Oryctolagus cuniculus: one gene and its partners. The protein of the gene in region 5 interacts with the protein of the main gene of each other region in a biochemical or structural test. Links are inferred from orthologs where the notes say so. Each region holds a gene or a part of one and is shown on either strand. Other genes may lie near its edges.

The links.
Region 1: the proteins of JUN (region 5) and ATF2 form a complex in vitro, tested with the Homo sapiens proteins (4 studies listed by BioGRID and IntAct, with this or other methods). The link is inferred for Oryctolagus cuniculus from reciprocal best matches to the Homo sapiens genes JUN and ATF2.
Region 2: the proteins of JUN (region 5) and PML form a complex in vitro, tested with the Homo sapiens proteins (2 studies listed by BioGRID). The link is inferred for Oryctolagus cuniculus from reciprocal best matches to the Homo sapiens genes JUN and PML.
Region 3: of the proteins of JUN (region 5) and MAPK10, one has a biochemical effect on the other in vitro, tested with the Homo sapiens proteins (7 studies listed by BioGRID and IntAct, with this or other methods). The link is inferred for Oryctolagus cuniculus from reciprocal best matches to the Homo sapiens genes JUN and MAPK10.
Region 4: of the proteins of JUN (region 5) and MAPK1, one has a biochemical effect on the other in vitro, tested with the Homo sapiens proteins (2 studies listed by BioGRID, with this or other methods). The link is inferred for Oryctolagus cuniculus from reciprocal best matches to the Homo sapiens genes JUN and MAPK1.
Region 6: the proteins of JUN (region 5) and RB1 form a complex in vitro, tested with the Homo sapiens proteins (2 studies listed by BioGRID). The link is inferred for Oryctolagus cuniculus from reciprocal best matches to the Homo sapiens genes JUN and RB1.
Region 7: the proteins of JUN (region 5) and FBXW7 form a complex in vitro, tested with the Homo sapiens proteins (3 studies listed by BioGRID, with this or other methods). The link is inferred for Oryctolagus cuniculus from reciprocal best matches to the Homo sapiens genes JUN and FBXW7.

Annotation. Positions count from the first base shown.
Region 1 is NC_091434.1:66,033,607-66,037,106, reverse strand, and holds part of ATF2 (cyclic AMP-dependent transcription factor ATF-2), read right to left. Parts: intron 2,964-3,500; coding exon 2,785-2,963; intron 1,880-2,784; coding exon 1,765-1,879; intron 1-1,764. UniProt on the Homo sapiens protein: Transcriptional activator which regulates the transcription of various genes, including those involved in anti-apoptosis, cell growth, and DNA damage response.
Region 2 is NC_091443.1:109,465,573-109,469,072, forward strand, and holds part of PML (protein PML), read right to left. Parts: intron 271-3,500; coding exon 1-270.
Region 3 is NC_091439.1:81,338,318-81,341,817, forward strand, and holds part of MAPK10 (mitogen-activated protein kinase 10), read right to left. Parts: intron 2,163-3,500; coding exon 1,980-2,162; intron 1-1,979. UniProt on the Homo sapiens protein: Serine/threonine-protein kinase involved in various processes such as neuronal proliferation, differentiation, migration and programmed cell death.
Region 4 is NC_091452.1:28,976,450-28,980,551, reverse strand, and holds the start of MAPK1 (mitogen-activated protein kinase 1), read right to left. Parts: upstream 2,801-4,102; 5' UTR 2,662-2,800; coding exon 2,543-2,661; intron 1-2,542. UniProt on the Homo sapiens protein: Serine/threonine kinase which acts as an essential component of the MAP kinase signal transduction pathway. MAPK1/ERK2 and MAPK3/ERK1 are the 2 MAPKs which play an important role in the MAPK/ERK cascade.
Region 5 is NC_091438.1:114,258,805-114,261,620, reverse strand, and holds JUN (transcription factor Jun), read right to left. Parts: upstream 1,616-2,816; coding exon 602-1,615; 3' UTR 501-601; downstream 1-500. UniProt on the Homo sapiens protein: Transcription factor that recognizes and binds to the AP-1 consensus motif 5'-TGA[GC]TCA-3'.
Region 6 is NC_091440.1:67,325,201-67,329,172, reverse strand, and holds the start of RB1 (retinoblastoma-associated protein), read right to left. Parts: upstream 2,801-3,972; 5' UTR 2,603-2,800; coding exon 2,469-2,602; intron 1-2,468. UniProt on the Homo sapiens protein: Tumor suppressor that is a key regulator of the G1/S transition of the cell cycle. The hypophosphorylated form binds transcription regulators of the E2F family, preventing transcription of E2F-responsive genes.
Region 7 is NC_091439.1:11,998,755-12,002,995, reverse strand, and holds the start of FBXW7 (F-box/WD repeat-containing protein 7), read right to left. Parts: upstream 2,801-4,241; 5' UTR 2,282-2,800; intron 1-2,281. UniProt on the Homo sapiens protein: Substrate recognition component of a SCF (SKP1-CUL1-F-box protein) E3 ubiquitin-protein ligase complex which mediates the ubiquitination and subsequent proteasomal degradation of target proteins.

The DNA of each region.
Region 1 (3,500 bases), on a different chromosome or scaffold from region 5:
CAAAGATTAAAAGCTGTCATGTCATAAATAATTTAGATGAAGAAGTAAACTGTGTTCTGGAAAACTGTGCTAGATGGGTCAAAAAGCGGTTCTCAGATGAAAATCTGAAATGCTGAAAGACACCTTTGAAAAGTTTGAATAAAACTGTTTTCATGAATTCACATGTGAAAGTTGGGAAAAAAGGCATATTTCTCATTTTTATTATTCTAACCAATGTTATTTATTTATTTATTTGAAAGGCAGAAGTCAGAGAGAGAGGGAAGGAGACAGAGAGATCTGTCATCCTCTGGTTCACTCTTCAAATGCCTGCCATAACCAAGATTGGGCCAGGCTAAAGTCAGGAGCCAGGAACTCCACTGGGCTCCCATATGGGTTGCAGGGACCCAACTAGTTGAACCATCACCTGCTGCCTCCCAGAATGTGCATCATCAGGAAGCTGGAATTGGCAGCAGAGCTGGGACTTGAACCTAGTTACTCTGATTCTGTATGTAGGCATCTCAAGTGGTACCTTAACTACTAAGCCAAATGCCTGTCCTAAACAATGTGTTTTTAAATATTTTATAATCTACTAAGTACTATAACTAGGGGTTGGCACTGTGGCACAGTAGGTTAATCTTCTGCCTGCAGCACAGGCATCCCATATGAGTGCTGGTTCTAGTCCCGGCTGTTCCTCTTTCAATCCAGTTTTCTGCTATGGCCTGGGATAGCAGTGGAAGATGGTCCAAATCCTTGGGCCCTTGCACCCATGTGGGAGATTCAGAAGAAGCTCCTGGCTCCTGGCTTCGGATCGATGCAGCTCCGGCCATTGATGCCATTTAGGGAGTGAACTGGCACAAGAAAGACCTTTCTGTCTCTCCTTCTCACTGTAACTCTACCTCTCAAATAAAAAAATAAAATCTAAAAACAAAAAAATACAATAACTAGATATTTAATTGTCTATGTCTTTCAAATTTTATATATATTTGACTTGCCCTTACAAAACTTTTCTTTTGGATCTTCTCATTAAGAAAATGGGAGACTTATTACTTTAGAATGCTAAAATTTATTTGTTTTATTTATTTTAAAGGCAGAGTGACAGAAAAACAGAAACAGATCTTTCATCTTGATGGTTCATCACCAAATGCACACAACAGCCAGCTCTGGGCCAGACCAAAGCCAGGAGCCTAAGTACTCTATTTGGGTCTTCCACATGGGTGACAGGGACCCAAGTACTTGAGCCATCATCTGCTGCCTCTCAGAGTGAACATTAACAGAAAGCTATTAGAAATGGAGTGGGGCCTGAATACATTCATTCTGGCATCTTAACCACTGCAAACGTCTGTACCGCAAATGTTCAGAATGTTCTTAAGAATGCATGGGCCATCAAAGTAAATCTGTTAACTGAACTTGACCATCAAAGATCAAAGATTGTGTTTTTATAAAGAATTTCTAAATTAACTGAAATACCAAAGTTACCTGACAAGTGTTCTAGTACTATTTGAATTTTACAAATTCAGTCAAATAGAAATGGGGTAAATAAGGAATAAAGTTCATAGTGTAAAAAGTAAGGAAAACAAGATTGTTGGGAGAGGAAAATAGTTTATTTAATTATGTTTGCACTGAATGGTAGATGTTATTACCATAAATATCAATGAATAAACACTACTTACCACTATTATGTACTTTCTTAAATTCAGTTTTCATAAGTCAGTCCAGCAGCTTCAACTCTATTTTCTGATTACTTTATACAGACCAGATCTACTATAGTCTAAATTTGTAACTTACTGGGACTGCAGCTGGAACATGTACATTAGAACTTGTAATTGATGCAGGAATAGCAACAGGCATGGTTTGTCCATTCGGAAGATGCAATAGAAGAGGAAATGGGCCTGGCACAGGACTATGAAGAACAAAAGAAATGAAATTAAACAGATTCAAAGAAACCATCACTTAAAAATACAATAGTATTTTTACTTCTATTATTACAATATTAATAAATTTCTTAAGCACTGTAAACTTCAGAAATAAAATTATCTTTAAATATGTTTTTTAAAGATTTATTTTATTTGAAAGAGTTACGCAGAGAGTCAGGGAGAGACAGAGATTTTCCATCTGCTGGCCTACTCTCCACCCAGATGGCCACAACAGCCATAGCTGGGCAAGACCAAATCCAGGAGCCAGAAGCTTCCTCCAGGTCTCTCACATGGGTGCAGGGGTCCAAGGATTTGGGCCATCTTCCCACTGCTTTCTCAGGCCATTAGCAGGGAGCTAGACTGGAAGTGAAGCAGCCAGAACTTTAACTGGCACCTATATGGGATGCTGGTGCTACAGGCAGCAGCTTTATCTGCGAGGGTACAATGCCAGTCCCCAGACCATTATCCATCGGCTAACTCTCCAAATGGCCACAGCAGCCAGGGCTGGGCTAGGCCAAAGCCGGAGTCAGGAATGCCATCCAGATACTCCCACATGGGTGGCAGGGGCCCAAGCACTTGGGCCATCTTTTGTTGCCTTCCTAGGCAACAAAGCTGGATGGGAAGTGGAGTATTTGGGACTCAAACTGTAATACGGGATGCTGGCATCCTAAGTGGCAGTTTAACCTGCTATATCACAATGCTGGTGGGCCCTGAGAACTAGCTGCATTTAAGAACTGAAAGAAGTGTCATCTGGTAATAGAATAATTTTATATGTTTTGCCTTAAAGAGCATGAAAATATAAAAAATCATCTTAAATCAGCTATCTTAGGAAAAATCGTAACAAGAAAAACTTAATTCATACACAGTTCAATGACTGGGCTTAATCACTTACACAATTGGCCTATTGGAGGATGGTGCCTGGGTGATTACAGTACTTGAGGTTGGTGAAGGTACTGCCTGCTGAATAATTACACTTGAATCAGAACTTGTAAGCAGCACATTGGGAACCTGTAATGATGCTGGACGAACAATAGCTGATGTGGGCTGTGCAGTTTGTGCCAATGGTACCTCCTATTTAATAAAGACATAACAAAAAGCGTAGAATTTAAAATGCAATTAATGCATGTACCTTAGTGAACAGAACATAACACACTTGCAAACACATTCATAGGGTAATGCTTAACCTCTCAAATTAGTATCTCAAGTGAACTAAAAAGAAATTTTAGAAGTAGTTGTAAAGGTTCACAGGCAATGTTCAATTAATTTTTAAAAACCTCAGCGTTTTTTTCAGTAAAACTTATTTTCATGTCAATTCAGAAGTAAGTCAGGTTGGACAATTTGGCTATAATTCCAAGAGAATTTTAGTAAAAAAGTAAAAACACGATCCACTCTCAAGAATTAGAAAACTTTAAAATCTATAAGGGAACACCTAAGTCTACTTCCTCATTTTACTGTACAAAAAGAAAACAGGTCCAGAGAAATTTCGCTATGATTAATACAAATTCAACAATGGAAATGTTAAACTATTAACTAATCTTAGGCCATCTTTCCTATATCAAAAACTTCAATAACAAAAGGCCAAGTAATACTGATACCTTGAATACAAAA
Region 2 (3,500 bases), on a different chromosome or scaffold from region 5:
TGCACGTGTGCCACCACCTGGCGCACGCGCTCGCGGATCAGGTCCTCGGCGTCGGCGCGCGCGCGGCCCAGCTGCCCGATGGCCGCGCGCACCTGCGCGAGCGCAGCCCCGAAGGCGCCGCCGCGCTCCCGCAGCGCGCGCGCCGTGGCGTCCAGCTCGTCCTGGCGCTGCAGCACCTCGGCGCTCAGGTCGCACTTGAGGTCGCTGTGGCCGCTGTCCAGGAGCGCACACGAGCAGCACAGGGGCTTGTGGCAGCCCCGGCAGTAGATGCTGCGGGAGAACCGTCTGGGTTAGGGCTCGCCGGCTTCTTCCCAAACTGCCAGACCCCACTGGCGTTTGGCGCACCTGTTGGGACCCACCTCACCCCCTACATCCCATATCCGAGTGCCCGAGTCCCAGTCCCAACTCCGCTCCCATCCAGCTTCCTGCTGAGGCGCACCCTTGGAGGTCGCAGGGGCAGGCTCAGGTCATCGGGTCCCTGCCCCCCACGGGGGTATCCGGGCAGTTTGCAGCCCTGGCTGTTTAAGGGCTTTTGGAAGCAGACGGAAGATCCTCCCCCCGTCTGCCTGTCTCTCTGCCATTCAGATGAAAAAAAAAATCCCCTAGATAAAAGTGCCAGAGTTTGAGTCATAGTAGGTGTGCAGGTTCACGCTTTCCCGACGCAGCGTTCATGGCGCTGGTGCCAGGGCCCAGAGCAGCACACGAGAGTAAAGCTGCGGCGGCCTGTGCCTCCAGCTGCAGGACGCGGAGAATGCGTACAAAAGGAATTCGCGGAATTGATGTTTCCTTTATAAAATAAACTTATTTTTAAGGGTTTATTTATCTGAAAGGCAGAGCAGTAGAGGGAGAGAGAGAGGTCTTCCATCTGCTGGTTCACTTCCCAGATGGCCGCAATGCCCAGGGCTGGGCAGGCCGAAGCCGGGAGCCAGGAGCTTCCCCTGTGCTTCCCAGCCCCCCAGGGCCCCTCCCCCATCTTCACTCTCCCCCTACCCCCACTCCCCGCTGAAAAACCTCCAAAAATCATTTGTTCTCAAGAACAAAGTGTTTTCAAACTACCAGGGTCACTGACGTCTCAATAGGCGGGGAGTCTCCACGTGAACCAACACGCCAACCCCGCCCCCTGGTGAGGTGCAGGGACCCGGGGCAGCCTGACGCCCCCTGCCCCCCGCTGGTGAGGTGCAGGGACCCCAGGGGCAGCCTGACGCCCCCTGCCCCCCAGTGAGGTGCAGGGACCCCTGGGCAGCCTGATGCCCCCTGCCCCCCGGTGAGGTGCAGGGACCCCAGGGCAGCCTGACGCCCCCCACCCCCCGATGGTGAGGTGCAGGGACCCCGGGGCAGCCTGATGCCCCCTGCCCCCCACTGGTGAGGTACAGGGACCCCAGGGGCAGCCTGACGACCCCTGCCCCCCACTGGTGAGGTACAGGGACCCCAGGGCAGCCTGACGCCCCCCACCCCCCGATGGTGAGGTACAGGGACCCCAGGGGCAGCCTGACGACCCCTGCCCCCCACTGGTGAGGTACAGGGACCCCAGGGGCAGCCTGACGCCCCCCGCCCCCCACCCCCCGATGGTGAGGTACAGGGACCCCGGGGCAGCCTGACGCCCCCTGCCCCCTGCTGGTGAGGTGCAGGGACCCCAGGGGCAGCCTGACGCCCCCCGCCCCCCACCCCCCGCTGTTGAGGTGCAGGGACCCCAGGGGCAGCCTGACGCCCCCCGCCCCCCACCCCCCGATGGTGAGGTACAGGGACCCCAGGGGCAGCCTGACGCCCCCTGCCCCCCGCTGGTGAGGTGCAGGGACCCCGGGGCAGCCTGACGCCCCCTGCCCCCCAATGGTGAGGTACAGGGACCCCAGGGGCAGCCTGACGTCCCCCAGCCCCTCTCTGGTGAGGTGCAGGGATCCCAGGGGCAGCCTGACGCCCCCTGCCCCCCGCTGGTGAGGTGCAGGGACCCCGGGGCAGCCTGACGACCCCTGCCCCCCAATGGTGAGGTACAGGGACCCCAGGGGCAGCCTGACGCCCCCTGCCCCCCACTGGTGAGGTGCAGGGACCCCAGGGGCAGCCTGACGACCCCTGCCCTCCACTGGTGAGGTACAGGGACTCCAGGGGCAGCCTGACACCCCCTGCCCCCGCTGGTGAGGTGCAGGGACCCAGGGGCAGCCTGACGCCCCCTGCCCCCCACTGGTGAGGTACAGGGACCCCAGGGGCAGCCTGACGCCCCCTGCCCCCCGCTGGTGAGGTACAGGGACCCCAGGGGCAGCCTGCCGCCCCCTGCCGCCCGATGGTGAGATGCAGGGACCCCAGGGGTAGCCTGACGCCCCCCGCCCCCCGATGGTGAGATGCAGGGACCCTGGGGGCAGCCTAATGCCCCCCGTCCCCCACTGGTGAGGTGCAGGGACCCCGGGGCAGCCAGACCCTCCCTGACTGACGTCCATCATCCACCAGAACAGCCTGCTCCCCCCTCAGCAGAGCCGGGGCCCCGCCCTCCTTGCTGCACGCCCCAGAGGGAGGGGGCATCTGGCCTGGAGCCCTCCTCCCTCCTCTCCTGGGGGCTCTCGGCCTGCGGGGCTGGGAGCCAGGGGGAAGCAGCAGGAGGTCCCCAGGAGCTCCCTGGGGGCTGGGACACAGCGCTCACCCCATCCCCATTCCCTGTCCCTTCTCAGGCGGCTCAGGGCCACCTCTGCTTCTCTCAGGAGAAATCCTGCCTGTGGGTTGGGGATACAGCACCCCCCTGCCCTGAGTGTCTCCGGGGAGCCCGGGGCATGGACACACTGCCCCCCATGTGTCCAGCGCCCCCAGCTGCTGCAGGAGTGGGGAAGGGTGGGCGGTGCAGACCACGCAGGCGCCTCCAGGACTGCAGGGGCAGGGTCCCGGGTGACGGTCACTGTCACTGTCACTCAGCTCTGGGTCCTCACAGCACTTGGGTGGAAAATCCCCACACAGACCCCACAGATCCTGCCTCATCCCAGACCCCAAGTGCTGAGAGTGAGAGGGGAGAGAGAGAGAGAGAGAGAGAGAGAGAGAGAGAGAGAGAGAGAGATGGAGAGAGAGAAAGACAGATACAGAGAGACAGAGATGGAAAAGGGGAGAAAGGAAGAGAGATAGAGAGGGACAGGGAGAGGCAGAGGGAGGGAGAGAGAGGAAGAGGGAGGGGGAGAGATGGAGAGAGATGGAGAGAGAGAGGGAGAGAGACATGGAGAGAGAGAGAGACTCAGCCTGAAGCCAGGACGGCTGGGGTCTCTGTAGGAGGCACACGGCCAAGCAGGCAGGGGGACCCCGGGGAGCCCAGGGCAGCGAGCAGCAGAGGTCCTGCAGCACCCACAGCCCCAGTGGGGAGGGGGTGGGGCACGCACAGGAGGAGTGCACCCTGCAGACGCCTGGTGCTGGGTGGAGGCCTGGAGAGGTGCCTGAGCTGGCTCTGCCCAGGGTAGGGTGGGCTGGGGAGGGGTCTCCTCCCTGAATCCATCTCCCCCATGATGGGCACCCTGTCCCCTGTGAGGGTGGAC
Region 3 (3,500 bases), on a different chromosome or scaffold from region 5:
TATAACTTGTTACTTTTATATTAAAAATAAAACTAAATAATCATAAAAATGTAAAATAGTTTAGTATATAAAACACTAGTTTACAAAACTAAAATAACTGTAGAGGTTCAAACTGAGTTGAAAATAAACTATAGAAACTTGGAATTACATTATGAAGCATGATATTTGAGTTAAGAGTTTTTCTATAAGTGTTGGCATAACTATGTTATAATTAAATGAGGAGTTTGCTGGATCCATATTGTTTTTTGTTTTTCTTTTTTTTTGACAGGCAGAGTGGACAGTGAGAGAGAGAGACAGAGAGAAAGGTCTTCCTTTGCCGTTGGATCACCCTCCAATGGCCGCTGCGGCCAGCACACCGCGCTGATCCGAAGGCAGGAGCCAGGTGCTTCTCCTGGTCTCCCATGGGGTGCAGGGCCCAAGCACTTGGGCCATCCTCCACTGCACTCCCTGGCCACAGCAGAGAGCTGGCCTGAAGAGGGGCAACCGGGACAGAATCCGGCGCCCCGACCGGGACTAGAACCCGGTGTGCTGGCGCCGCTAGGTGGAGGATTAGCCTATTGAGCCGCCGCACCGGCCTTGAATCCCTATTGTTATTGCAAGTGTTTTTATAAGAAAGGATAACTTTTGGATAATATCTCAGTATTGTGAAGCCATAAATTCTAAAAGATCTCTATTTGAAGTATTAGGTCTTTTTCAAGCTGCATATAGGAAAAAGTTTATCTTAAAAAAAAAAAAAAAACAGATGTGGTAATAATTTAGTTCATTGCCATTAAGAGACCGTAGTGTCAACTGTAGTAGAAAATTCAATTATGTAATTTAAGCTACAAGAAAATAGAAACAAAGTTGCATATTTAAAACCCAGCAGGTAAAAGTTTAGAGGAGACAAAAAGATCCTAGAAAATAGTAGTACCACATTTTAGCTTTTCTGTCTTATTTTAGCCTAACTTAGCTATTTATTTAAATTTGTAAGTTAAATCTGTAGATAATTACACACTGAACATTTGCTTTTAAATTTCAAAGTATATATCCTCTTATTTTTAATAATTTGTAGATATATTGTTAAAATATTATATTACATATTATATTTAATAGGGATTGAGCGTTTGCCATCATCTAGGTATTATTCTAAGTGTTTGACAAGCTATTATGTCAATCAATCCTGTGAACAACCCTATATGGTAGGAACTGCATACCTTCATTTGTTAAAAGAAGTGAGGGTCAGGAAACTTGCCCAGAGTCCCACATATTTTAAGGAATAAAGGCATAATTTAAACCAGGCAGGGGAATAAAATATGATTCTTTCAAAATCATATTCTCAGGAGTATCTAAAGTATAAGAATTAGAATATTTCTGTATTATACTCCAGCTGCTGTTAAATTTATTCCTGGTCTGCAAATGAAACTGCAACATTCTTAGATCCATTTTGTGTGTGAAGGTGTGGATCAAGATTTGTTGTCCAATTAGATAACTGCTGACACAGTAGGAAAAAAATCACTAATAAAACTGTTTATATTGAATAAAAATGTACAGTTGAAATCTCAATTACTACTCTAAACTGAAAAAAATAGAGGGTAAGCACTATACAAAACACAACAAAAGAAAATCAGACATCTGCCTCTAAGGTTTCATAACTAATAACTATTTTGAAAATCTTTCCCAGATAATAAAAAGTAAGAACATTGATTTCAATATATATTGATCACATAGAGTTACACTTGAGATACTAAATTTAAGATTTTAAATACACCAGGAAATAGTTAACACACAGCACTGGGACATATTTTATTCTTATTTTTCCCTCTGAATATCCCAACAATTCTAAAGTTCTTGGCTACAACCCAACCCTTTGTAAGAAGATATTTTAGGAAATGACTCTCCCTAATGTGAGCATAGTTCTAGCTGAAGAAAAGTCTTCATATCAACAGGCTTGCTTAGCTGGTCACTCCCACAGCGGCCCTCTGCCACCCAGACCGGCATACCTTTGAGCTTATTGTGCTCGGAGTCTGCTGGGAAGAGGGAATCTGGAAAGAGCTTGGGGAAGGTGAGTCCCGCATACTTGGGCCGGTTCTCCACATAGTTTCTTACTGTAGGCTGCAATTTCTTCATGAATTCTGGACACGGCGTTCCTAGTTGCTCAATGACTTTGTTCCACTGGTCGATATCTGAGAATTGAATAGTTAAGGGAAAACAGAAGTGCAGACCACTAGCTCATGCTTTCCAATAATAAGAGGCTAACTCTTCAGAATCCTGGGCAGCCATCAGTACAATTGGGATTTTAATAAAGCAAAAAGAGACAAAACTGTGAAACAGAATTGTCAGGGCAATGCATCCTCCCTAGATTTCAAATTCTGTTTTCGAACTCAGAAGTTTTCAGGGAGCTAATATTATTTAACAAAACAGGATACCATGAAACAATCTTTGATTGGTAAAGCTAACATGTTATTTAAATAACACAAGAAGAATCTCTTACAAAAGGATAAACACCAATATAATCATGTGATTTAGAAAAAATATATAATCCCATGATAGTGACATTTTATCTCCTGAAGATACTTCAGTCACTTATACATTTAAAATGGCAAGTACACATCTATTAAAAATGATAATCATTTATTGTCTTCCTAGATTATTTTTGAGAATATTTTCTCTTCTCCAAAACCCAAGAAATTTATCATCTGTTAATGAGTTCTGCTCATATGCCTTACACATGGGGTCAATAAATTTTTTTTATAGTAAAAGAACTCATTAATTCTTCATCAAAGATTTAGAAATTTATACTATTCATACAAGGAAGTCACCATTGCATACCTACTGTTCTTACTTCTGAATATGTTTCCAATCACATATGAGGGTAGACAGAGAGGTGCTTCATTTAAGAGAGCGACTTCCACCCAAAGACATCCAAATTCAGAGAGTATGGTAACTATGAGGAATTCTATATGAAACATGCCAGCTCTCTGTGAAAAATTACACCCTCAAAAATTAGAGGGTAAATGTTGACAGACATACCCACTGATTGAGATTCTATTTTTTACGCCTCATTAATAGTTCATGTACCAGAGCATCGAAAATAAGAAACACTGCCCCTGAATACTTTGAAGGACCAGCTGGAAGCTATTGATTTTAGACAGATTACCTTGTCATGTATCATGAATGACAGAGACCTTGGAAATTCTTTTTAAATCAATATCACAAGGAGTGTTCTCTACTACATTTTTATTCTTTATGCTTTAACATTAAGCTGATTAATTTAATGCGATATATGATAGCTTCAGGACCCTTACCCTAAGATTACTAATTGTGGTTTGTAAAGTCTTTACTCATAGCTATTCGAGTGAGTTAGACTATAAAAGATTAGCAACCTTATTGAAAAGACAAAATTAACTACATTCAACAAAAACTAATATATAATGCAAAGACAGTATGTAGGAGATTGAGCAAACATAAAATCAAGTTAATTTGCAAATCCTCTTCTACCTCCATTATATGGGCTGAATAAA
Region 4 (4,102 bases), on a different chromosome or scaffold from region 5:
GGATGGCCCAAGTGCTTGGGCCCTGCACCCCACGGGAGACCAGGAGAGGCACCTGGCTTCGGATTAGCGCAGTGCACCGGCCGTGGTGCGCCGGCCACGGCAGCCATTGGAGGGTGAACCAATGGCAAAAAGGAAGACCTTTCTCTCTGTCTCTCTCTCTCTCTCACTGTCCACTCTGCCTGTCAAAAAAAAAAATAAATAAATAAATAAAAAATTTAACCACGAAGTCCTCCATAACCCCAGCACTGTATTTATCAAAAGCCAAACAATGTGCAGTATAGATTAACGGCAGGTTGTATCACCAACTTGCAATAATCTGTAATCTGGGCCCACGATTCAAATGTCAATTATATTTGTTTTATTTCAAAAGAGAAAATTACAGCAAGAGAAGTTAGCACTTCAACTGGAGACAGAGGTTGGATTAGTCTACAGCAGTGACAGAAACAGCTTCTAAATCGACATCACCCTCAGATTAAAGAAAAAAATCTCATCAGCTAAGGGAAAAAAATGCTTTCAACTGACATATCCTAAAGATTTTTTTTCAGTTCATATTTTATATAATTAAAGGGGGGAGGGGTGTCAAAGGGCATGACGGGCAATCCTGAGCCTCTCATGAGATAGTCACTGGTGTACTCACCAGCAGGCATGACAACAATAACACGTGTGACACAGAAGGGATACCAGGGGCAGTACTTTCTTTATTTTTTAAATTATTTTAATTTTTTGACAGGCAGAGTGGACAGTGAGAGAGAGAGACAGAGAGAAAGGTCTTCTTTTTGCCGTTGGTTCACCCTCCAATGGCCGGCGCGGCCGGCGCACCGCGCTGATCTGATGGCAGGAGCCAGGTGCTTCTCCTGGTCTCCCATGGGGTGCAGGGCCCAAGCACTTGGGCCATCCTCCACTGCACTCCCGGGCCACAGCAGAGAGTTGACCTGGAAGAGGGGCAACTGGGACAGAATCCGGTGCCCCGACCGGGACTAGAACCTGGGGTGCCGGTACCGCAGGTGGAGGATTAGCCTAGTGAGCCGTGGCGCCGGCCTCCAGTACTTTTTCAGAGCCTAATTTCTTTCAGGCCTGACCTAATTTCTCTTTTCACTTCTTAGCTGGGGTGGGGGTGGGGGTGGGGGTGGGGGTGGGGGGAAGTCATGCTAATTTTCACAGCTGTATACTGGGGAGCAATTCGCTCCTAAAGCAAACGAAAACATGCAGGATTCAATTATTCAAAAATAATTCCAACTACTTCTATCTAGTCAAGGTGATTGGTAAAGCAAGTGCTCCATGGCATTTCTGAAGTCATCATCACTCAGATTTGCATACGTTTCTTAAACAGACTCGCACACAGCAGTAAAAGAGGCTAAAAATCCCGAAATTATCACTGATGCTATTTTAAGGGACGCTGGGTGTACCACAAAGATCTCAGGCTTCAATCTCAAGACTGACACTTTCTTCTATGACCTTAGAAAATTGGCACCTAACAGAGGGATATTACCAGCTTTTCCTTTGGGGTGGGGTGGGGGGGCTGTTCAAATAAAATACGGATGTGGCACACAGTAAGGGGCACGAAGCAGTCCACAAATTAGTGCTCAGTTACTTCATTCATCAGGAAAAGACACACTCATGAGACTGAGAAGCAGGAGAATCTACTTCTGCACGAAGCGCCTCTTCCGAGGGAGCCTTGCGTGTGACTGTGCAAAAAAAGTCCCCGAAAGGCGGAATGTATACACTGACCGCTAAAATACCAACAGCAAAACCCTCGGTCCTCGGGCCAACACGACAGGATGCATCTATACTGGTTAGGAGCTCACCTGAGAGGAGGGAAGAGAGGGAGAGGAAAAAAAAAAAAAAAAAAAGAGCAAATTGGGCCCAACTGCAAGCAGATTTAATAAACCAAGAGGGATGCCGGCTGCTTATTCCTGAAACGCACGGTAACACATGCATGCCCGTTTAAACATTAAAAAAAAAAAAAAAACTGCAAGACGAATTCTTCATACAAGCCACACTGCCGACCTGGGTGCTTTTTCGGAAGGCCTGCTCAGGCGAGCACCAGCTAACGACCGCTGAGGGACAGACACTTCACGCACAGCCGGCCGCCGTTCCGCACACACGCAGGGTCCAACCGCGTCCAAGCCCAGGGCCATGCATCTGACGGCATTCCCGGCTTCGCGAGCACCCCGGGGCGCGACGGATGCTTCCGTTCCCCTCCTGGGCTGGGGATCGGGAATCTGGGCTTGCAATCTACATTTCTGAAATCTTGGGGGGTGGGGTGGAGGAGCCGGGCTGGAAACCCAGCGGCTATCCGGTGCAGGGCGTCCGCGGGTCCCGGCCTCCGCCCCCCTGCGGCGAGCGAGGGCCCGGCCCGGGACCGGCCACCGGCCACGAGCAGCGACATCTTAAACCTCGAGCCGGGGCCCTGCCCGAGGGAGCCCGGGACTGGGGTCGACCGCTGCGCGGGAGGCCGAGACGCGGGCGAGGCCGCGGCGCATCCGCTGCAGCCCCGGGCGGGGGAGCGGGCCAGGCCTGCGGGGCGGGCGCCGACACTCACCACACCATGCCGTAGGCGCCCTCGCCGATGTACGAGAGGTTGGTGTAGCGCGGCCCCACGTCGAACACCTGCCCGCGGACCATCTCCGGGCCCGTGCCCGCCGCCGCCGCCGCCGCCATGTTGGCTGCCGGGCCGCCGCCGCCGCGCTGGGCTCGACGCTCCGCGGCCGCCGCTCCGCTCCCGCCGCGCTTCCCCAAGGGACCGCGCCGCCGTCCGTGCAGCCGCCGCAGCTGACCGCCAAAGAGGCAGGACGGCGCCGCTTTCGGGGAAGCGGAGAGCCGACGTCCGCTCGCCTCGACTGCCCGTCTCACTTACTGACTGACGGGCGGGCCCGCGGGCGGAGGGAGGGGCGCGCGCCGAGCAGGGCGCCGGGGCGGGGCCGAGCAGCGTGCTCGAGGATTGGCTGCCTGCGGCTGGGGGCGGGGCCGCGCGGGCCGGCGGAAGCGGCGAGCTCAGGGCGGAGCGCTGCGGCGGCGGCGGCGGCGGCGGCGGCGGCTGCGGAGGAGGCGCCGAAGGGCGCGGTCACGTGCGTTCGCTGGTGAGTCGGCGCGGGAGGCGGCTGAGGAGACGCTGAGAGCGGAATGGGGAGACGGGGCGTCACGGGGCTGACCCTGAGGGGCCGGGGCTGGGGCCGGGCGGCGAGCTCGGGCAGTGCGGGGGAAGACGAACGACGCTGCACACGTGGGCTTCGGGCCCTCTGGGGCCCAAACGCTCTGAACAACTTAGGAGGTGTGGAGATTATGTTAGGAACCAGAATACGTGGTCCAGACCGAAGAAGAGATTTGAGTACTGAGAACGTGTGAGACAGGAGAGGCCGAGTGGGTCTGCCCTTAGATCCGCCCTCGTAGAAGATAACTTCCGGAGAGAGGTTTCTCAGGCTGAGGTACTTTCTATGGAGAAATGTCAAGCAGAGTAAGGGGCAGAGAGGAGTGGGTTGAGACACCTGAGGAAGACTCGAGTTGCCACTGTGAGACCGAGACCCATGTTAGGCCGGATGGACATGAGCTTTGAGACGTAGAACGTACTGAGCTGGAAACACCAGGGTGGAATCGCTAAAACCAATAGTCACAGACACATGAGAGGCTGAAAATTAAAAAACTGCAATCTTGAAGCAGACGGATGCCAAGGAAGCTCAGGCCACGCGGTGGAAGATGGGCCAGCCACCGCCTCGGAACCATTTCCTTGCCGTCTGCAGAGGGAAGTGAGAAGGCAGACTCCCCTCATAGCCTTCAGAGCTGCTAATTCGAGACGGCTGGAAATCAATAAAGATTAGCCAGTCAGTCTGGCGCGTTAAAAGCCCTGTGGGAGAGAAAAAAAATAGTGTTACATAAGGGGAAAAAAGTGCTACACCCAAAAGTGAGTTCAAATGTTAGTCCGTGAAGCAGAACCCAATTTTGAAAACACCTAATTCTTATTCTTGATTCTGAAAGGACATTGCATCTCTTTTTAAAAACAGGATGATGAGGCCGGCGCCGCGGCTCAGTAGGCTAATCCTCCACCTTGCGGCGCCGGCACACCGGGTTCTAGTCCCGGTCGGGGCGCCGGATTCTGTCCCGGTTG
Region 5 (2,816 bases):
TACAAAGGCATGAAGCTGTTTATTGACAGTAATCAGCTTTCATCAAATTAAAAAATAGATATCTGTACATACACGGTTAACGAAGGCAGGCCAGAAAGAGTGTATCTGCAGGCTCAGCCTGGCCCTCCCCGGCTCCCTCCCCGCCCCCCGCCGCCCCTCCCCAGCCCTCCCGGTCGGGTTCTTAAGGAGTACTACAGAAGCGATCTACAGTCTCTATGGCAGTTTGTCACCCCGCCCCTCCCCCCCTTTAATACTGAATGAGATCGAATGTTAGGTCCATGCAGTTCTTGGTCAATGTTAAAGAAAAGTCTACCGTCGTGATGGCGCGGGGACAGCCCTTCCGCCGAGCGGGGCCGCCCGCAGGCGGCCGCTCCCTGGCTCCGCGCCAAGGGGAGCGCGCGCCAAGTCCTTCCCACTCGTGCACACTGGGGGCGCCGTCAGGACGCAACCCAGCCCGGCTTGGATACCCTTGGCCTTAGTCCTCGGACGCGTCTTTTTTATTTTTTTCTCGCTGTCGCAACCGGTCAAGTTCGCAAGACTGTCTCTCTGTTGGTTTTGTTTTCTTTTTCTTCGTCGCCCCTCAGCCCTCGACAGTCTGTCCTCAGAACGTTTGCAACTGCTGCGTTAGCATGAGTTGGCACCCGCTGTTAACGTGGTTCATGACTTTCTGTTTCAGCTGTGCCACCTGTTCCCTGAGCATGTTGGCCGTGGACGCCAGCTCCGAGTTCTGCGCTTTCAAGGTTTTCACTTTTTCCTCCAGCCGAGCGATCCTCTCCAGCTTCCTTTTCCGGCACTTGGAGGCGGCGATGCGGTTCCTCATGCGCTTCCTCTCCGCCTTGATCCGCTCCTGGGACTCCATGTCAATGGGGGACAGGGGCGGCGTCTCGCCGGGCATCTCGGGCACGGTCTGCGGCTCCTCCTTGAGCGCCTGCAGCCGCGGGTGCTGCACGGGGATCTGCTGGGGCAGGTGGTGCGGCGGCTGCGGCGGCGGCGGCGGCTGTTGCTGCTGGGGCTGCGCGGGAAAGGCCAGGCCGGCCGCGCCGTAGGAGGGCGCCCCGCCGCCGCTGCTCAGCGCGCTCGGGTTGAAGTTGCTGAGGTTGGCGTAGACAGGCGGCTCGCTGTGCAGGCCGGCGCTGAAGCCGCCGCTGCCGCCGCCGCCGCCCGCCACCGAGGCCACGGCCGGAGCCACCATGCCCGCCCCGCTGACCGGCTGCGCCGCGGACGTGACGCTGGGCAGCGTGTTCTGGCTGTGCAGCTCGGCCAGGGCGCGCACGAAGCCCTCGGCGAAGCCCTCCTGCTCGTCGGTCACGTTCTTGGGGCACAGGAACTGGGTGGGGGTCGGCGTGGTGGTGATGTGCCCGTTGCTGGACTGGATGATGAGGCGCTCCAGCTCGGGCGACGCCAGCTTGAGCAGCCCCACGTCGGGAGAGGTGAGGAGGTCCGAGTTCTTGGCGCGGAGGTGCGGCTTCAGGCTGCCCACCGGGTCGGCCAGGTTCAGGGTCATGCTCTGTTTCAGGATCTTGGGGTTACTGTAGCCGTAGGCGCCGCTCTCGGTCTGCAGGAACGAGGCGTTGAGGGCATCGTCGTAGAAGGTCGTTTCCATCTTTGCACTCATAGAACAGTCCGTCACTTCACGTGGGCTTACTTTGGGCTGCGCGCACAAGTTTCGGGGCCGCGACAGCGCGCTGGCGGGCGGGGAGCACCCCGCGCCTCCCCGGGCCTCTGGCAAAGGAAAAGTTTCGGAGCGCGCGCGCACCCGCGGGCTGTCTTCCCCCTGGGCGCCCCGCTCACCGGCCCCCGCTCCCGGGAGCGGCGGGGTTCAGACGCTCGCCCGCACTCCTCGGCCGCTCGCGCGCGCCTGCCCGCCTTTGAAAAGTCGCGGTCACTCACTGCGCGCCCTTCGGAGGCTCCCCGGCGGCGCGGCGCGGTGCCCCGCAGTGGCGGCGGGTCTCGGCCGCCCGGACTCCCGGAGACTGTGCCCTCTTCCGCTGCGAGGGGCAGGGGGCTCCCGGCGGCAGCGGCTCGCGCCGGTCAAGTTCAGAGGCCGGGGCGAGCGGAGCCGCGCGCGCGTCGCTCCTCTTCGCTCCTCTCTCCGCCGCCTTGCTTTTCTTTGCTGCCGCCGCGGCAAGCCCAAATAGCGCAGGAAAGGTTTGCAAAAGTTCGCTCCGGGACTCCGGGCCACTTGTCCCCGGTCCTCCCGGCTCGGAAAGTTCTTGGCCGCTGCAGTCGCCGCTCTCCGCGGCTGTCAGCTGCGCTCGTGCGGTGGGGCTCTCCTCCCCGGGGGCGGCTGGAGAAGCAGCAGCTCTCCAGGTGCTCCCCCCAAACACCAGCCCGGGATCCACAGGCGCTAGCGCGGGGCAGTTGGCAAAGCAACGCAGCCGTGCGGATCGCACTCTACGGGCGTCCTGGCGGGGCGGGCGGACTGTGTCTGTGTGTCTGTCTCCCTCAATCCGCGCACCTCCACTCCCGCCTCGCCGCTTCAGCCACACTCAGTGCAACTCTGAGCCCTTATCCAGCCCGAGCGCAACACTTATCTGCTACCAGTCAACCCCTAAAAATAGCCCATGATGTCACCCCAAGGCCTTCCCATTGGCTCGCGTCGCTCTCTGGGGGGCGGGCCCGCCCGTCGCCATGGAGACCCCACCCTAGAAGATTCTTCTTCGGGCCCGCGGAGGCTCACGGGATGAGGTAATGCTCCGCTGCCCTCCTACAGTTGGGCCCTTCTTTCTCCTCCTCTCCCCCTCCCCCTCCGCGCGCCTCTAGCCCCTCTCTTCCCGGTCCCCTCCCGGCCCGTCTTTCCCGGCCCGCCCGGTGCA
Region 6 (3,972 bases), on a different chromosome or scaffold from region 5:
ATTCATAGGTATTTATATAAAAGAATATTTAATAATTATAAAAGACTATACTACTGGTTTAGGGATTTACTAGACTATGCTTTTGTGTTGTTATTTTAGATATTCCTTCTACTTATAAAAACAAAAGTTTACTATAAAACAGTATATTGTGTTACACTTGCAACAGTCACATATATTTTACATTTATCACATCTTGATGCATCAAGAGGCCATTTGGGGTGATTGAGCAAGATAATCAAGGTTTATGTTAAGTACATTCTATGATATTCACACAATGACGACATCATCTAACAGTGCATTTCTCAGAACACGACCCTTCTGTTAAGTGGTACATGGCTGTAGTGAATCTATAGTTAGGGGGTCTATGTTAATGAAAATCTTTATGGGTATGAATAATCAAGAACAAAATGATATCTTGTATATCCTTGACTTGTAGGAAAATTTTTTATAATTCCATCATTTAAGAATACAAGCATATTTCATTTTCTTGTATTTTGCTTTACTGCACATTACAGATACTGCATTTTTTTTTTAATAGAAGGTTTTGGGAACCTTGCACATAGCAAGTCTATCAGCATCATTTTTTCAACAGCTTGGGTGGTTGCTAGCAATTTTTCGTAATAAAATATTTTTAAATTAACGAATGTACATTGTGCTTTGAGACACAGTGCTAATGCACACTTGAGAGACTATAGTATAGTACAAAAATAAGTTTAAATGCATAAAGAAACCAAAAACTTCGTGTTACTCGCTTTATTGCGATATTCACTTTATTGCAGTGGTCTGGCATGGAATCTGCCATTTCTCCGAGGTCTGCCTGTATACTGTGCTGGATGAAAAATGAAAGAAACAAAAGCCTTCTTCTCCCAGGGGACGGCCAGAACTTCATTTCTTGTTACCATACAATAATTGAAAGTGCTTCTTTAGAACAGGCATACATTACTGCTCTTTTCATGGACAAGTACAATGGCATTTAATCAAAAACTAAAGTGATATCTTCTCCCAGCATATCCCTCAGACCTGGCTTTGTTTTTGTTTTCACTAGTGAGTATTATTTTGAACTGACACGTTGTAAGATAGTCCATTTAAATATGTTAATTTTTAATAGCTTTCCAGAGTCCATTTCCAAAATTCTATTTCGATGTTTTACAATTCTGTCTGAATTCAGCTAAGATTCCATGGAGTGGAAGGAAAGATACTATTCAGGGGGCACAAAAACAAGACTTGGTGATAGACTAGAGCTGGGGAGGGAGTGCCACTGGAAAACCAGCGGCATTCCCGGGCAATGGCTAGAACAAGCACTGACAATAATCCTAACTCTGCCCGTTCTGTACTAGCAACTTCACTGTAAAGCCTCACGATCAAGATGTTGCAATACAATAAGCATCTTTCTGTCACGTAGCACTGCGTCCATGAGGACTTGCTTAAACGTAGAGATTCCACTCGCTAAGGGGTGAAGGGGTGACAGCGGAGTTCCAGGTGAGCAGAAGAACACCATTAATTTCATACCAAACCCAAACAAAACCAAAAAGAGGGGACACCAAGCATCCCTGCTGGCTCAAAGTGAAAGGCAAAATGTAATAACGAGGCATGCGGAGGCCTCGCAAACACGCAAGCGAGTTCTTCCATCAGAAGAAAAAAAAAAAGAAGAAGAAGAAGAAAAAGAAAATGGAAAGTTTGGTAACTTTCAAGCGCTTCACTAAATGTCTCAACGAAACTTTAGCCCAGAGGCCAGTTCGTGTAAAGAAAGTTAGGCTCCACCAGTGTCTACAGCCGGCTTTAAATCCTCGAGGCCTCCACACATTGTTTTAGGGAACCCCACAACGCCTCGCGGCCGTGTAGCCCGTGGGCAATTCACACCTAACACCCTGCCCTTCACGTCCAAGGCCTTCCCGGGCCTCTCCCAGTTCTGAGCTTCGGAGGTAGCGCACGCCCAGAGGAAAGAAGAAAAAAAAAAAAAAAAAACAAAAAAAACAACTTCCAACTGTTGCGTCGCAGGGGATCGAAACAGAAAGTCAGGCGACCACCGAGGACTCCAGATCTCCACTGGAGAAAAACTCGCCAACACACGTACCATTTTTGTACTTTAAAAAAGAATTTTTTTTTCGCTGCATGAGGGCTGGTAATCAGCCGTCGGCTGCGAGCCGCTGTCTCGCTAGAGGAGACTGCACCTGTCACTTCGCTCAGGGACCCGAGCCCCACCCGCCCGACACCTGTCAAGCTGGAGCCGAGACCCCTCCAGCAGCCCTCTCCCCGTCGCTCACGATCCCGGATCTCTGTCACCGCCCCGCAGACGCTCCGCTGCCGTGGAGGAGGCAGGGAGGGACCCTCGGACCATCCCGCCGCCGGGACCGACCCCGGCGAGGATGCGCCCGCGCCCAGCCGCCGCGGCTCCCGCCCGCCCGCCCGCCGCACCCCCGGGACTCCCTCCTCGCGTGCCGGCCGCAGCGGCGGCGGTGCCCGCTCACCTGGCCAGAGGCAAGTCCTCAGGACCACTGTCCTGTTCCGCGTCCTCCTCAGGAGGCGGCGGCGGCGGCGGCGCCGGGGGTTCCACCGCGGCGGCGGCGGCGGCAGCTGCTCTTCTCGGGGTTTTGGGCGGCATGACGCCTTCTCAAGGCAGGAGCAGCGAGCTGAGGAGGAGCGCCGAAAACTGACGGCGCGCGCGCACCTCGGGGCACGCCCCGTCCCCTCCCGACTCCCGTTACAAAAATAATTTGAACGTCCCCTGAGAAAAACCGGACGCGCCCTCCCCCGCCCGGCAACCGAGCGCCGCGTCCAACCGCGGGAAAACGTCACTTCCGCCCGCGGCGTCACGTCCGCGAGGCTCTCGGGCCCGCCGGCGTCTGGGGGGAACCGGGGCGCCAGGCGGTGCGCGGGCCGGGGCGCGAGGTCGCGCGGGAAGGCCGGCGCGGGTCCAGGCACCCCGCTGGGAGCCCTGGGTGCTGCCCGAACGTGGTTTTCTCCGAAACTGCCCCCCGGTGGGCCGGTGTCGCGGCTTTACAAAGAACCCGGTGGGTGACACGGGGGCCGCGTCGCTATCTCTGGGTCTGGGCGGGGAGCGCTGGGCGAGGGCACCCTGGGCGGGCACGCCCCTCTCCCTCTCCCTCTCCTCACCCTCACCCTCCTCCTCCTCCTCCTCCGTGGGCGGCGCCGTCCCTCCCCGCCTCTCTCCTCCCGCCCGCTCGGTTTAGCCTCGCATCTTTGGCCAAACAACAACAAATGGGGAGCACCGCGTAGGTGTGGAACTCTGCTGGCTTCTGGCGCTTGGGCAGTGCAAGACAATAGCTGCCCTTTTTGGGGGGATCGCTGGGTGGAGAGGCCGCGGCTGTGGCCATGAACAGACCCTAGCTTATAGAAGGTCTTAATGGTGATGTAAAAAGAGGCGGCACCATCCAGACGTCAAAGGGAGGTTTTTGGAGGGGCAGTGGCAATTGAATAGAAGTTTCCTAGGCCAACCCATTATTTAAGGAGCGCTTGCTGTGTACCACAGACTGTGTGGAGCACCTTCTGTAATTATCTGGAATCCTCCGAAATGGCCCTTTAAAAGGAGGGCGGGGAAAGGGTACAAGTGCACTTAAGAAAGTTCATGAAAATGACATTAAAAGAGGGATTTATTCGTGTGCCAAAAACGTTTTGAAATCCGTGCGTATTGGGGATCTTCAAAAAGTTCGTCGAAAATACACATTCTCAAAAACTAGGCATGGGTTTCAAAAGTGTTCACGCCCAAATAAACTTGGCTGTTAATTCCGTTTTTCCACGAACTTTCTAAGGTATACCGCCTGGTGTTAGCCTTTCACGTTGTGAAGGGAGACGCAGGCTTGGAGAAGTTAATTAATTTGACCAAAATCACAGAGCAAAAGGAAGGCAGAAGGCTTGCACTCCACTTCTCCGTTAGGTTCTGTCAATGAAGAAGCCAAGCAGGAAGTGCAAAGGCACAAAGTCAGCAAAGAACTTAGTGGAGCCACCACCTTA
Region 7 (4,241 bases), on a different chromosome or scaffold from region 5:
CCAAGTTGCTCTGAAACCAACATTTCCCTAACAAAAAAAAATTACATTCACTTCCTATCAGGTATCAAACACCACCAGCACCCCATTCCCACCCCCAAGGTGGGAGGGGAGATTTCATGTAGAAGTTTAACCCCCAAAATCATATGGCAGCAATACTAAGAGGGTGGGAACTTGATTCAACTATGCTACAGAGGGTAAACCCTGGGAGTGAAATACAAACAGCTGTGCTCACTGCCGCCTCTGGCAGCAGCATGCTCTGCCAACAAGAAAGCCACCATCAGAGGAGCCCCCAGACCTAGCACCTCCAGAGCTGTGAGCCAAAATAAGTCTCTCCTTTAAAAAGCAGCCTGCTTGTTAGCAAGAACTGGATAATGCAATGGCACACGTGGTGGTCTCAGATTAATACCGGCCTGTTCTCCTGTAGTCTTGTTCCATTTGTATAACTGTCTCTTCCACCCCTAAGTAAAAGTGCTTCAAAGGCAGAGACCCCCAATACTTCCTCATTTCTACCCAAATACATATTAAAATATTACCATCATTCTTAACTTATCTATAGTGAAAGCAATCAAAATAGGTCCTAAACTCGGCATTATCCACAAACTTTGCTTTGTTGGTTTGTCCTCTCTCCTTCCCAAAAAGCTGTCTATGTAAGACCAGCTTTTTCTCTGGTCCATCTGTGAGAAACAGAAAAGGTGACTTACTCGAAGTCACAAAAGATGACACATCCAGAGATACCTGGCTGCTTCTAAATCTAATATTCAATCCACTATGCAACGTTTTATGTCGGTACCCACTTAGAACAGACTTCAAGGTTCCTTACAAAAGCGTAATGAGAACAAGGCACCTACAGAAAAACAAATGCTTGGAGAAGGTCCAGAGAAGGGCAGTGGTCAAAGAAATGGAAGAAACAGTTCTCAGACAGAAAGCTGGGGGGAAATGATGGCAAACAAGAATAACCAGGCAAGAAACCTGGGGTTATTCTAGTATTTCTCAAAACGCAAGCTCTTAAGTGATGCATCTTTTAGCCTAAGGAGGTAAGTTTGGGATACATGCATGAATTCTTACATCAGACAGAGGCTAATAAATCTGCAGAACTTATTACTTTAAAAAAGAAGTGGTACAGAGTCAAAACATTAAGTCTGAAAAGGTTTTTTTAAAAATTTCATCGGGATCCTGAGTGGAGAATTTAGGGTGGATAACCCCGGGCATACATTCATTCCCACAAAGCATCTCTCAGCAATGACTTCAGAAAGGCCATCCACAGCTACTGGTCTGGAGGCACCATAACTCTCACTATAGAACTGTCTGGGTCTAGTTACCTAAAATTCCCCCCTGATGCCTAACCCTCCAGGTCTGTATACATGAAATGCTAACTACTTCTGTGTACCTCTAACTTGGCACGCTGAGGGGACATTTGAAATCGAGTCAAAGATTTGAGAGACTTCAACTTTAAAATAATGCAAGGAAAAGCCATTCTTGTAAGAATTATGGCTTCATAGGTTCCTCCTAAATCGTTAAAGTAAAGCTAAATCAAACAACAAAGTCTCAACCCATTCTCCCAATAAAACAGTGCTGTCATTTATAACCTGTTACTCAAAAAAGAGAGAGAGAGAGAGACAGAGGGCACATGTGGGATTTGGGTGGAAGAGTAACAACCTATATAAAATGGTTTATGCAGTAAATGCTCTGCCTCAAATAAGCTGTGATTCCTAAGAAGCCAGAATTTCCCCAGTAACTGCGATCTGTTAAAGTGTCCTCCTGACATGCAGAGGAACTGGACGCAGGAAAAGAGAAGGTTAAAAACTTCTGTACTGAGAGGTATGGAAATGAAACCCGGGCTTCCCCTCGAGGTAGCCTGCGAACAAATCAAGGAACTGGACTTTCAGAGGTGCACGGGGGAACCCACGGGAGAGGTCCTCCCCTACACAAAACTCCTCCGGCGCCATCCCACAGTCCCTGCCACCAGGAAAAGGGCGAGCACAGCGATGTCCTTTGTGTGCACGCCTGCTCTGCCTTCCTCGACTTCCCTTCTGCCAACTCCTGCCCGGAGAGGTGCAATCTTTCCCACTCCGGAAGAGAACACAACTAACTCCTCCTTGGAGAAACCTGCACGCTTGGCATTGCTCGTCCAAGCTCAACGGCAACAAACCCCAGAGCCGTCCTGTGCGAAGAAGGGGCGCACACACACTCCCCGCGCCGCTGGAAAACATCTGCACAAACCTCTGCGGCATCCTCCCGCCCCCGGCCCCCCCCTCGGCCCCTCTCCGGAAGGACCACTCACACTTTAGAGAAGAGCCGTGGCGCTGAGAGAGCGGGCTGGTTCCCTTCCTGCTCCGGACTGCGGCAGGCTCCGGCGCGCTCGCTACAGAGGAAGAAGCGATCGCTGCTCGTGTCGCCCAAGCAGGCGGCCACCCGGGTCTCTTCCGCGCCGCCGGGGTGGGGGGAGAGGAGGCGGCGGCCCCGATCACCTCTTTTCCTCTTCCTGGGTCTCTTCAGGCTGTGATTTCTGCCCGTCCAGGGCCACTGGTCCCGGGACAGTCACGTCTGGGAGGCTCCAGAATTTGTTCTTATAAAAGTTTCCTCTGGGTGGAGGCTGCGGCCGGCCCCCCGGATCCCCCCCGGCCCCGCCGCCCTGGGGGCTGGGGCGGGGGAGGGGGCTCTAAGAACTCCTCCCGGAGTCCGGGCCGAGGAGCCGGGGGGCCGGCGACAGGCCGAAGGAAAAGACCCCCTCCCCCCGGAGGGGGCGAAGGGGAAGGGGTGGGTGAGGAGAGGACGGCGGCGCCGGTCCTGCTCTGCCCGCCGCCCCAGCCGCCGCTTCACATTGGGGTCCCCGCCCCCCCGGCCGGGGGGTGGTGGCTGAGCTCGGGGCCCTCCCGGCTCATACACTCCGGGGCAAGATGCTACGGCCCCGTGCGGGTGGCCGAGACGGCCGCGAGGCTGGGGACCCGGCCGGCTCCGCTCGGCGCCGCCCCCGCTCCCGGTTCCCGCATGTGTCGCTGCGGCTGGGACCCCCCTCCCTACACCTCGGGGGTCCCTCGCCCCTCGCCCCGGGACGAGGCAAAAGCTCCGGCCCCCGGCTCAAGGTCCTCTCACGGCGGAGCAGCTCCCAAGTCCCGGCCCGCCGCGGGAGCCGTCTCCCTGCCCCCCAGCCGCCGGCTCCGGCTCGGGCTCCGGCTCCGGCTCCGGCGTGTGCAGCCGCCGCCGCCGGCCGGGAAGGTGAGGGGGGGAGAGGAGGGCGGCCGCGGCTCTCGCTGGCCCAGGTTGGGGCCGAGGTTCTCGGCGGCGGCCACGGCACGGGGGCTGGGTCCTCCGATGCTCCCTCGCTCTCACTCTCTCGGCGGCGATCGCAGTAGCGCCGGAGCTCTGCTCGCTGTCTCCCTCGCTCTGTGCGGGGCTCTCGCCTCACTCCAGAGAGAGGGGCGGGAGGAGAGCGGCGCCGACCGATGACGCAAGTCACCTAGCAACCGCTCTCCTCTCCCCCTCCCTTTCCTTTCCGCTCTGAGGCTTCCTCGCTGGCCTTTTTTTTTTTTTCTTCCCTTTCTAGCCACCCCGCCCTGGGCGACTCCGGCGCGCTCTGATGACGCTCGAAGGGAAGAGGAAGTCGGGGAGCCGGGAGCGGGTGGGTGCGCCTCGGGCCGCGGTACTCGCTGCTGCCGCCGCCGCCACCACCGCGGCCGCCTCTACGGCCGCGTCAGAACTGAAGAGAGGAAGGGGAGGAGCCGAGCGGAGCCTGAGCTGCCGCCTGAGCTTACCCCTGACCCGAGGGCGGCGGGGAGAGCTCGCTCTCTAGCGGGTTCCTTCGGGGCAGGTGGGGACTGCTCCTTTGGGAACCGGGGGAAGGCCCAGGCCCGGGGGCCAGACTCCCGCGCGCACCTGCCGAAGGTGAGGCATCTGGCCCTGAACAAGCCCTCGAAAAAAGCCGGCCTGGTCGAGAAGTCCTGCACAGCCCGCTTCGTTGCACCTGCTCCAGCGAGCGGGCGCCCCACCCTTCCTGGAGCGCGGGGTGAGACCCGGCGCCGGATAACGTGTGGTCAGACCGAGCCAATGTTTGACGAATGAATGAGGGAGACTCGCAGCTTGAGACTTCGGTGAAAAGGGAGGCTGGTTGCTGGGGCGGGGGAAGGGAACCATGCTCCGGGAGACTGGGGAAGGATTTTTTGACTGTTTTGCAAGGGCAGAACTTAGCAGTGCCTCGCTGCCGGGAATCACTTTTGCTTTTGGCTTAGAGCTTTGGAGAGCTG